Tamandua tetradactyla: one gene and its partner. The protein of the gene in region 1 interacts with the protein of each later gene in a pairwise test. Links are inferred from orthologs where the notes say so. Each region holds a gene or a part of one and is shown on either strand. Other genes may lie near its edges.

The links. The genes of interacting proteins can lie anywhere in the genome.
Region 2: the proteins of LGALS8 (region 1) and APEH interact in binary tests that used the Homo sapiens proteins (3 or more experiments, as listed by UniProt). The two-hybrid records come from large-scale screens. The link is inferred for Tamandua tetradactyla from reciprocal best matches to the Homo sapiens genes LGALS8 and APEH.

Annotation. Positions count from the first base shown.
Region 1 is NC_135333.1:7,145,857-7,149,606, forward strand, and holds the start of LGALS8 (galectin-8), read left to right. Parts: upstream 1-1,421; 5' UTR 1,422-1,499; intron 1,500-2,543; exon of another isoform or gene 2,544-2,645; intron 2,646-3,750.
Region 2 is NC_135341.1:36,493,455-36,497,204, reverse strand, and holds the start of APEH (acylamino-acid-releasing enzyme), read left to right. Parts: upstream 1-1,538; 5' UTR 1,539-1,714; coding exon 1,715-1,726; intron 1,727-1,801; coding exon 1,802-1,934; intron 1,935-2,535; coding exon 2,536-2,662; intron 2,663-3,049; coding exon 3,050-3,143; intron 3,144-3,251; coding exon 3,252-3,327; intron 3,328-3,416; coding exon 3,417-3,580; intron 3,581-3,743; coding exon 3,744-3,750. UniProt on the Homo sapiens protein: This enzyme catalyzes the hydrolysis of the N-terminal peptide bond of an N-acetylated peptide to generate an N-acetylated amino acid and a peptide with a free N-terminus. It preferentially cleaves off Ac-Ala, Ac-Met and Ac-Ser.

The sequences.
Region 1 (3,750 bases):
TTTAGTTACATTGCATTCTGGCAGCTTTAGCAAATCAAAACACCATCTCTCTACTTCTGGATATATTTCAAAATTTATAAAATAAAAAATCTTTTTTAAGTACTTGAACTCAATAACAGTTTTCTATTTGAAAACAGATGGATTTCTTGTTTGCTCCAAACTATCACAGAAATTCTTTCCTTCAGTTTCACTTGTCATTTAATTTTCTGATGCGCTGTATAAACACAAGCTGGAAGGCTTGACTAAATAAGGAGACTACGCCACTGAGGGAAGCAATATTATGAATCTCAGCACAATATTATGAATCTCAGCAACTTTGCAGGAACAAAAATCACAACAAACAGTAACAATAACATCATTCTTTTGCACTGTTAAGTTCGTATGTGTTAACTACTTAATGGCTAACTCACGCCAGATTTTGTGCTCCATGACAACTTTTTACCCACAGGATCTTAGTGCCTAACATATTACCTAGTATATGGTATGCTTATGGAGGTATCCAAAGATAATTTCTCAGTTGAATTAGCATACACATATACATAAATATATGCATGCATATAAATATACTGGCAACATGGTTACCATAAATATGGCTTTTTTAGTATTCTACCTTGTCTTTTTAACACATGACACAAGATTTATGTAATTTCAAGTAACATATAGTATTCTTTAGTACTAATACACCATTCTCTGCTAAACCATTCAAGAAAATTATTTAAAGATCAGAGAGCATCTTGTGCTGGTTTTAAACTGTTATGTACCTAGAAAAGGCTATGTGTTTTTTTTCTTAACATGTACAGGCACCAGGAATCGAACACGGCATGGCAGGCAAGAACTCTGCCTGCTGAGCCACCATGAAGGCCATGTTCTTTTAATCTATTCTTGTGCGTGAAGACCTGTTGTGAGTAGGACCTTTTAATTAGGTTGTTTCAATTGAGATGTGACCCCTCCAATTCAAGGTGGATCTTAATCCTTTACTGGAGTCCTTTATGAGAGAGCTCAGAGATAGAAACACTGAGAGAGAGAGCTTAGAGAGAAATGCCCTGTAGATGCTAAAACAGGAACCACAGAAGCTCACAGAGGAGGCCACTGGAACAAATGCTGAAGGCAGTGAAACTGGGGAGCCCAGCAGCTGCTGGCCGTGTGTCTTCCTATGTGACAGAGGTGTCCCAGATACCAGCAGCCTTTCTTTGGAGTCCAGTTATCATCCGGTTGGTGCCTTAATTTGGATATTTTTCTTATGGTCTAAGAACTGTATAAGTTATAAATCTCCATTATAAAAGTCAACCTATTTCATGTATATTGCATTCTGGCACCTTTAGCAAACCAAAACACATCACATTCTTTGAGCCATTGTGATGAATTAATTCAATTCAGATTCCTCTGAAGATCTCTCCTACCCCCAAGATTCTTTTATTTTATGACAAAATCATAATCTAGAAGCTTGCTTCTCACACCTGAGAAGACTATTTTGGACATGACCCTGTAAAACACAAGAGGTAAGCCTGATGAATTTGAACACAAGGGGTCTAGAGAACGAAGAGATTGAGTGCTCTTGGGTGATGCTAGTACTATTGGAAGATTAGTTTAAAGCAAAATGATTCAAGAGGAAATGAATCCATTTAGAGTGGGGAGAATGATGAGAAAAGGTAGATGGTACCTACCATGAAGCTTCTTTGGGAAGTAGACATGTATATAAAAAAATGAGAGTTGTGGTTTTGTCAAGAACACATTCCTGAAGACCTTGCAAAACTTAAAAACTGCATAATCCAAACCTCCATAATCTCATGGAAATAAATGAAAAACAAGAGTGAGTATTTTCAGAGCTCATAAATCTATAACTATTGTGACAAGATATTGCTTTAATATTACTTCTTATTTATCATTATTATCACCAAAGTTTTCAGAGTTCTGGATCTAATCTCAGAGCATGATACATCAAGGGAGTTGTTTAAAGTACTTCATGGTATTTTATTGTGTCTAACTCATGTTCCAAAGTTATTGTTTTGCAGGTGTATTTTCCCAGCAGTGGCAGCACCATTTAATGAGTGCTTGTATGCAATTGTTCCATGGTAAAAAAAAAAAAAAAAAGATTTAAAAATTATAACAAAAGCAAAACATAGCACAGTTACACAATAAACAAAATCACTAGCAGAACTTCCTGTCAACATAGTTCACAGGATTAATAAAAGATGGCAGATTTTTTAAAAACAGTTAATGCTGCCAAGTTAAAAGAGTATATACAGTTTATAATTCATAAGTGTAAAACCATGTTTTTTTACTAGAGATTCTTTAATTTGGCCAACTTATACTATTTCACATTTTGCTTATAAGACCTCATATTTTATGTCACACTATTCCTAAGTTTGCAGCTACACTGAAGCCATATAAATGTGGCTTCATGGGTAAGGAAAGAGGAAGACAAAGATAAATGAAAGACAAATGGATTAATCCAGAAGTGATCCTTCCACTCTTAGAACTCTATGAGTTCTTTGCAAATAATTTGCAACATCTATACCATTGTTTTGAACTGATTTTCACAGCTATCCATATGTTTTTTGGGGGGAAGTGATCTCAAGCACATTGCCATAATCATCCCTTCTCTCCTGCATCATCTGTTTCTCCTGCTCTACTGGATCATTCTTGTAAGTAGTCAATAGCCTGGTTATAAATGTTCAACATTAGGCTCTACAGTGGGAAAAAAAGCCCTACATTGTAGCAGTCACCTATTTCCATGGTGTAAATACACTCTTCCGGCCAACTGCAAGATACCAACAGGACACCACCAAACAAAGAGTTTGGAAGAGTTGTGCACAACTGGCACTTGCAGAGGGGGATTGAGCCAGCTCCAGTATACCCACGAAAGTGCTTTTTATTCAGGTCACAACCCATTAGTGGGTCTTGTAAACAATTAAGTGGATTATGAGCAGCATTTCTTTTTTTTTTTTTTTTTTTTTTTCAGATCTTCTTCCCAACTGCAGCTGGGAAGGGAGGGCTTTTTTTTTTTTTTTTTTTTTTAATTTTTATTTTTATTTTTTTTATTAACGGAAAGAAAAAAAAAAGAAATTAACACAACATTTAGAAATCATACCATTCTACATATGCACTCAGTAATTCTTAACATCATCACATAGATGCATGATCATTGTTTCTTAGTACATTTGCATCGGTTTAGAGGAACTAGCAACACAACAGAAAAAGATATAAAATGTTAATATAAAGAAAAGAAATAAAAGTAGTAGTAATAGTAAAAAACAACAACAAACAAACCAACAAGCAAACAAAAACAAAAAAAACCCTATAGCTAAGATGCAGCTTCATTCAGTATTTTAACATGATTACTTTACAATTAGGTATTATTGTGCTGTCCATTTTTGAGTTTTTGTATCTAGTCCTGTTGCACAGTCTGTATCCCTTCAGCTTCAATTACCCATTGTCTTACCCTGTTTCTAACTCCTGCTGAACTCTGTTACCAATGACATATTTCAAGTTTATTCTCGAATGTCCGTTCACATCAGTGGGACCATACAGTATTTGTCCTTTAGTTTTTGGCTGGATTCACTCAGCATAATATTCTCTAGGTCCATCCATGTTATTACATGGTTCATAAGTTTATCTTGTCTTAAAGCTGCATAATATTCCATCGTATGTATATACCACAGTTTGTTTAGCCACTCTTCTGTTGATGGAGATTTTGGCTGTTTCCATCTCTTTGCAATTGTAAATAACGCTGCTATAAACATTGGTGTG
Region 2 (3,750 bases), on another chromosome or scaffold:
CTTGAAAACTTAAAAAATACAGATAAAATGAATTATCAGCCTAGCCCCAGGCCCTTCCCTCCCTCTCCCACCCACCCCAAGAGTTAACATCTTGATGCTTGTCATTCCTTCCTGTTTGTGTTCTTCAATTCTTTTTTATTTTAAACAGAAGCTGAAAGGTGCAGTAGCCACTGTATTCTAGCCTCCTGTTTGTTTCTACATGTCCTTTTCAAGTACTTCCATGTTCATCCTCCAATGCTCAGCCTCCAGAGAGATGCACCATGAATTTATAGCCTGTACACTGCACACACCCTGAGGGACAGATGCCATGTTTCCAGTTTTCCAATTATAAACAATACTGTGATGAATGTTCTGCTTTCCCAACTTTCCATCCAGATTGGTGGCCAGGGTCACCAACTGCTCCCAGGTCAGGCTTTGTCCTGAAAACACTGTGTGCACACAAATGTAAGTGGCCTCAGAAAGTGGGAATAATTTTTACTTAACTAGTTCGATGTGGTTGATGAGGAAAGGGGAGCTGTAGACCAGGCTAGTAGGGTCTCCATCAAAGGCAAGGTGGGGTACAGATAGACAGGACCCTGAGTTGTGTAAGGTCAGCCAGGCGTGGGGTAGATGGAGAGAGGGGACATCCCTGCTGGCTGCTGCCTGTCCTCTCCTCCAACTCTGCCCGGCTACTGTGGCAGTTAAATCTGTCCAGGGGGAGATCTCAGGTTCTGGGTGGAGTCTGACCCTATGAGGCCCTAGGCACCTGGGAAGGCAGGCACAGGCCCACCAGCTCAATATCCCCAGCAAGGCGCCAGTGCGAAGAGCGGGTGAGGGCTGGGGGAAACAGATAGATCTCTAGGCGGGCCTGGTGGTTGATAAGCGCAGAAGGCAGACCGACAGTCAGGACCTGCCCTACTATGTCTCTAACCCCAGGGGTCTGCTCCGCACGCCCCACCCGTGGCAGACCTGCGCTCTTCTCTCCCCATATGTCGGAAGCCCCTCCCGGTGAATATTTGCCGAACTCGTAGTGGACACGGAGGGACCCTCCTATCTGCCCAGAACTGCGGGAGACCCACGCTAAGGCAGGCCTCGACTCCTACCCAGCCCCTCCATGCCCGCCTCCACCTCATGGTCTCATTGGTTCGCATTTCTCTGCGGCCTCAGCTCCTGCCCCGCCCTTCATTTTCAAAGATTCATTGGTGCTCATCCTCTCAGGCCCCGCCCTCCGCCTGCGCACTGCCCACCCCTAACCGACCTCACTTCTTTCGCCTCACCGCCTAGTTTGACTCAGTAATCATCCCCTTCACGCGCAGGCCCTCTCACGTAGGCCTTTTCGCGCCTCACAGACCTCTCTCCTCTCTGAAGACCCGCCTCCAAATCTTCTTCTATAGGGTCGCCGCCAGGCCCACACACCCCGCCTCTCACCAACCTAGTCGGCCCCTGAAAGGGTCCTCTCCTCTACTGGACGTGCCCGGCCCCTCCCCTCCGAGCCTTCCGTACCAGAAGCTCAGACTCCTCCCTCAAGGCCCCGCCTCCTCAAGGCCCCGCCTCCTCAATGGAAAGCCCCGCCTCTCGGGCAGCGGTCTCCGCCAGTTCTTCGTGGGTCCCGCCCCTCCCAGATCGTCCCTGGGCGGTGACGGAAACTGGCTTGGCTGTTCCAGGCTCCGCCCCCCGAAGTCTCACTTCCTGGAGCCTGCGCGCCCCGCCTCGCCCCGGAGGTAGAAAGGCTACCATGGAGAGGCAGGTGAGGGCTCGGCCCGCGGTTCCCACGGTCCCTACCGCCCGGGCCGGGCCTGACCCCGCTGTGTCCCCTGCGCAGGTGCTGCTGAGCGAGCCCGAGGAGGCGGCGGCGCTGTACCGGGGTCTTAGTCGTCAGCCCGCGCTGAGCGCCGCCTGCCTGGGCCCAGAGGTCACCACACAGTACGGGGGCCGCTACAGGACGGTGCACACTGGTGTGTGTGTTGTGTGTGTAGGGGGATCGGGGTGGCGGGCACACTCCGGGTCCGTGCCCTCGGGTGGACAGGGCAGGGGTGTGGAGAGCTCACCACCTGACAGTGCACGCGAGTGTGTGGAGGAAGACGAAGCTTGGTGGGCATGGGGGTGGGGTGGGTGTTACTGCCCTGTGCTCACAGGTGTATGGGGACACTGTGCCAGGCCATTACAGAATGGTTCCCATGAGTGCATGAAGGTGGGGCACCAGAATGTACATAGGGTGGGGGAATAAAACTCATGCCTGGGTGCAGGATATAGGCCTTGTAGGGCTGCCTCCCCTACCAGTACACATGGGACATGAGTGAACCAGGGGCATCCACTGGGAAACTAGGCCACCCTCAGGATTCCAGGATAGGTGCTGGGGGCAATAGAGGTTTCTTTTCTATAGGTCATCAGCTCAGAGTTTGGAGATCTAGACTTGGGCTGTGGCATAGTGTTTTCCAGCCTGCACCCACGGTGTCCGGAGACATATGTGGGGTGGTCGGGCTGGGCCTTCCTGGGTGGAACCTGTGGCCAAGACTGACCAAGTCAAGTTGAGCAGCCTCAGACCTCCCCTCACAGAGTGGACCCAGAGGGACCTGGAACGCATGGAGAATATTCGATTCTGCCGCCAGTACCTCGTGTTCCACGATGGGGACTCAGTGGTGTTTGCGGGGCCTGCAGGCAACAGCGTGGAGACCCGGGGGGAGTAAGTGCAAGGGAGGAAGCTTGGGAGCAAGGCCATAGCCTTGCAAGCCTTTTATGAATGCCTCCCATGTGCCTGGGTGTGGGCAAAAGGTGCAGAAGCAGAAGGGGGCCCAAAGCAGGTTCCGGCCCCCAGGGAGTTGTGCAGCTTCTGGTGACATGGCCTGATAAGCGCTGGAGGCTCGCTCCAAACCCAGAGCTGGACTAGAGCCCACAAGGGGGGAGGTTGGGGAAAGGAAAGTCCCTCTCCCGTGGGACCAGCGGTGCCACAGAGGCTGGTATGGGTCCAAAGCCTCAAGTATCTTGTTTGAAAGGTTGTGGCCAGCAAGGGGGCTGGGTGGAGCTATTGGTGAGTAGGAGTTGATCCCAACCTGCTACCCTGGGTCCTCAGGCTCCTGAGCAGAGAGTCTCCATCAGGTGCCATGAAAGCTGTGCTGCGCAAGGCTGGGGGCACAGGCCCTGGAGAGGAGAAGCAGTTCCTGGAGGTGAGTCTTCCTGGTACCAAGGAGGGAAATTCAAGCAACTGGGGGCTCAATCCCAAAGATAGGGGCTCCACTGAGGTGTGGAGCAGCCTGACACTGTAATGTCCTCAGATCTGGGAGAGAAACCGGAAGCTCAAGAGCTTCAACTTGTCAGCGCTGGAAAAACATGGGCCCGTGTATGAGGATGGTGAGGCAACTGGCTGGTGAGCAGGCAGGGTGGGCCAGAGGGGTAGCCGTAGCCCAGGGCTCCTCCTGATTGGTCCTTCCTGCACCCAGACTGCTTTGGCTGCTTGTCATGGTCACACTCGGAGACACACTTGCTGTATGTGGCAGAGAAGAAGCGCCCCAAGACTGAGTCCTTCTTTCAGACTAAAGCCTTGGATGTCAGTGCCGGTGATGATGAGATGACCAGGTTGAAGAAGCCAGACCAGGCCATCAAGGTGCTCATAGCCGGCCAGTCTGTGCAGGCCCTACGGGACAGCCTTGGGGCTCAGCGTACTCCCTGTTCAAGCTGCACTTCTCAGAACTGGGGGTGCACTAGCTTCTGGGGGTAGGGCAGGGCCTTCCAGACAGGCCTGGGCATTGAGCATCTCGTGTTCTCAGGGAGATC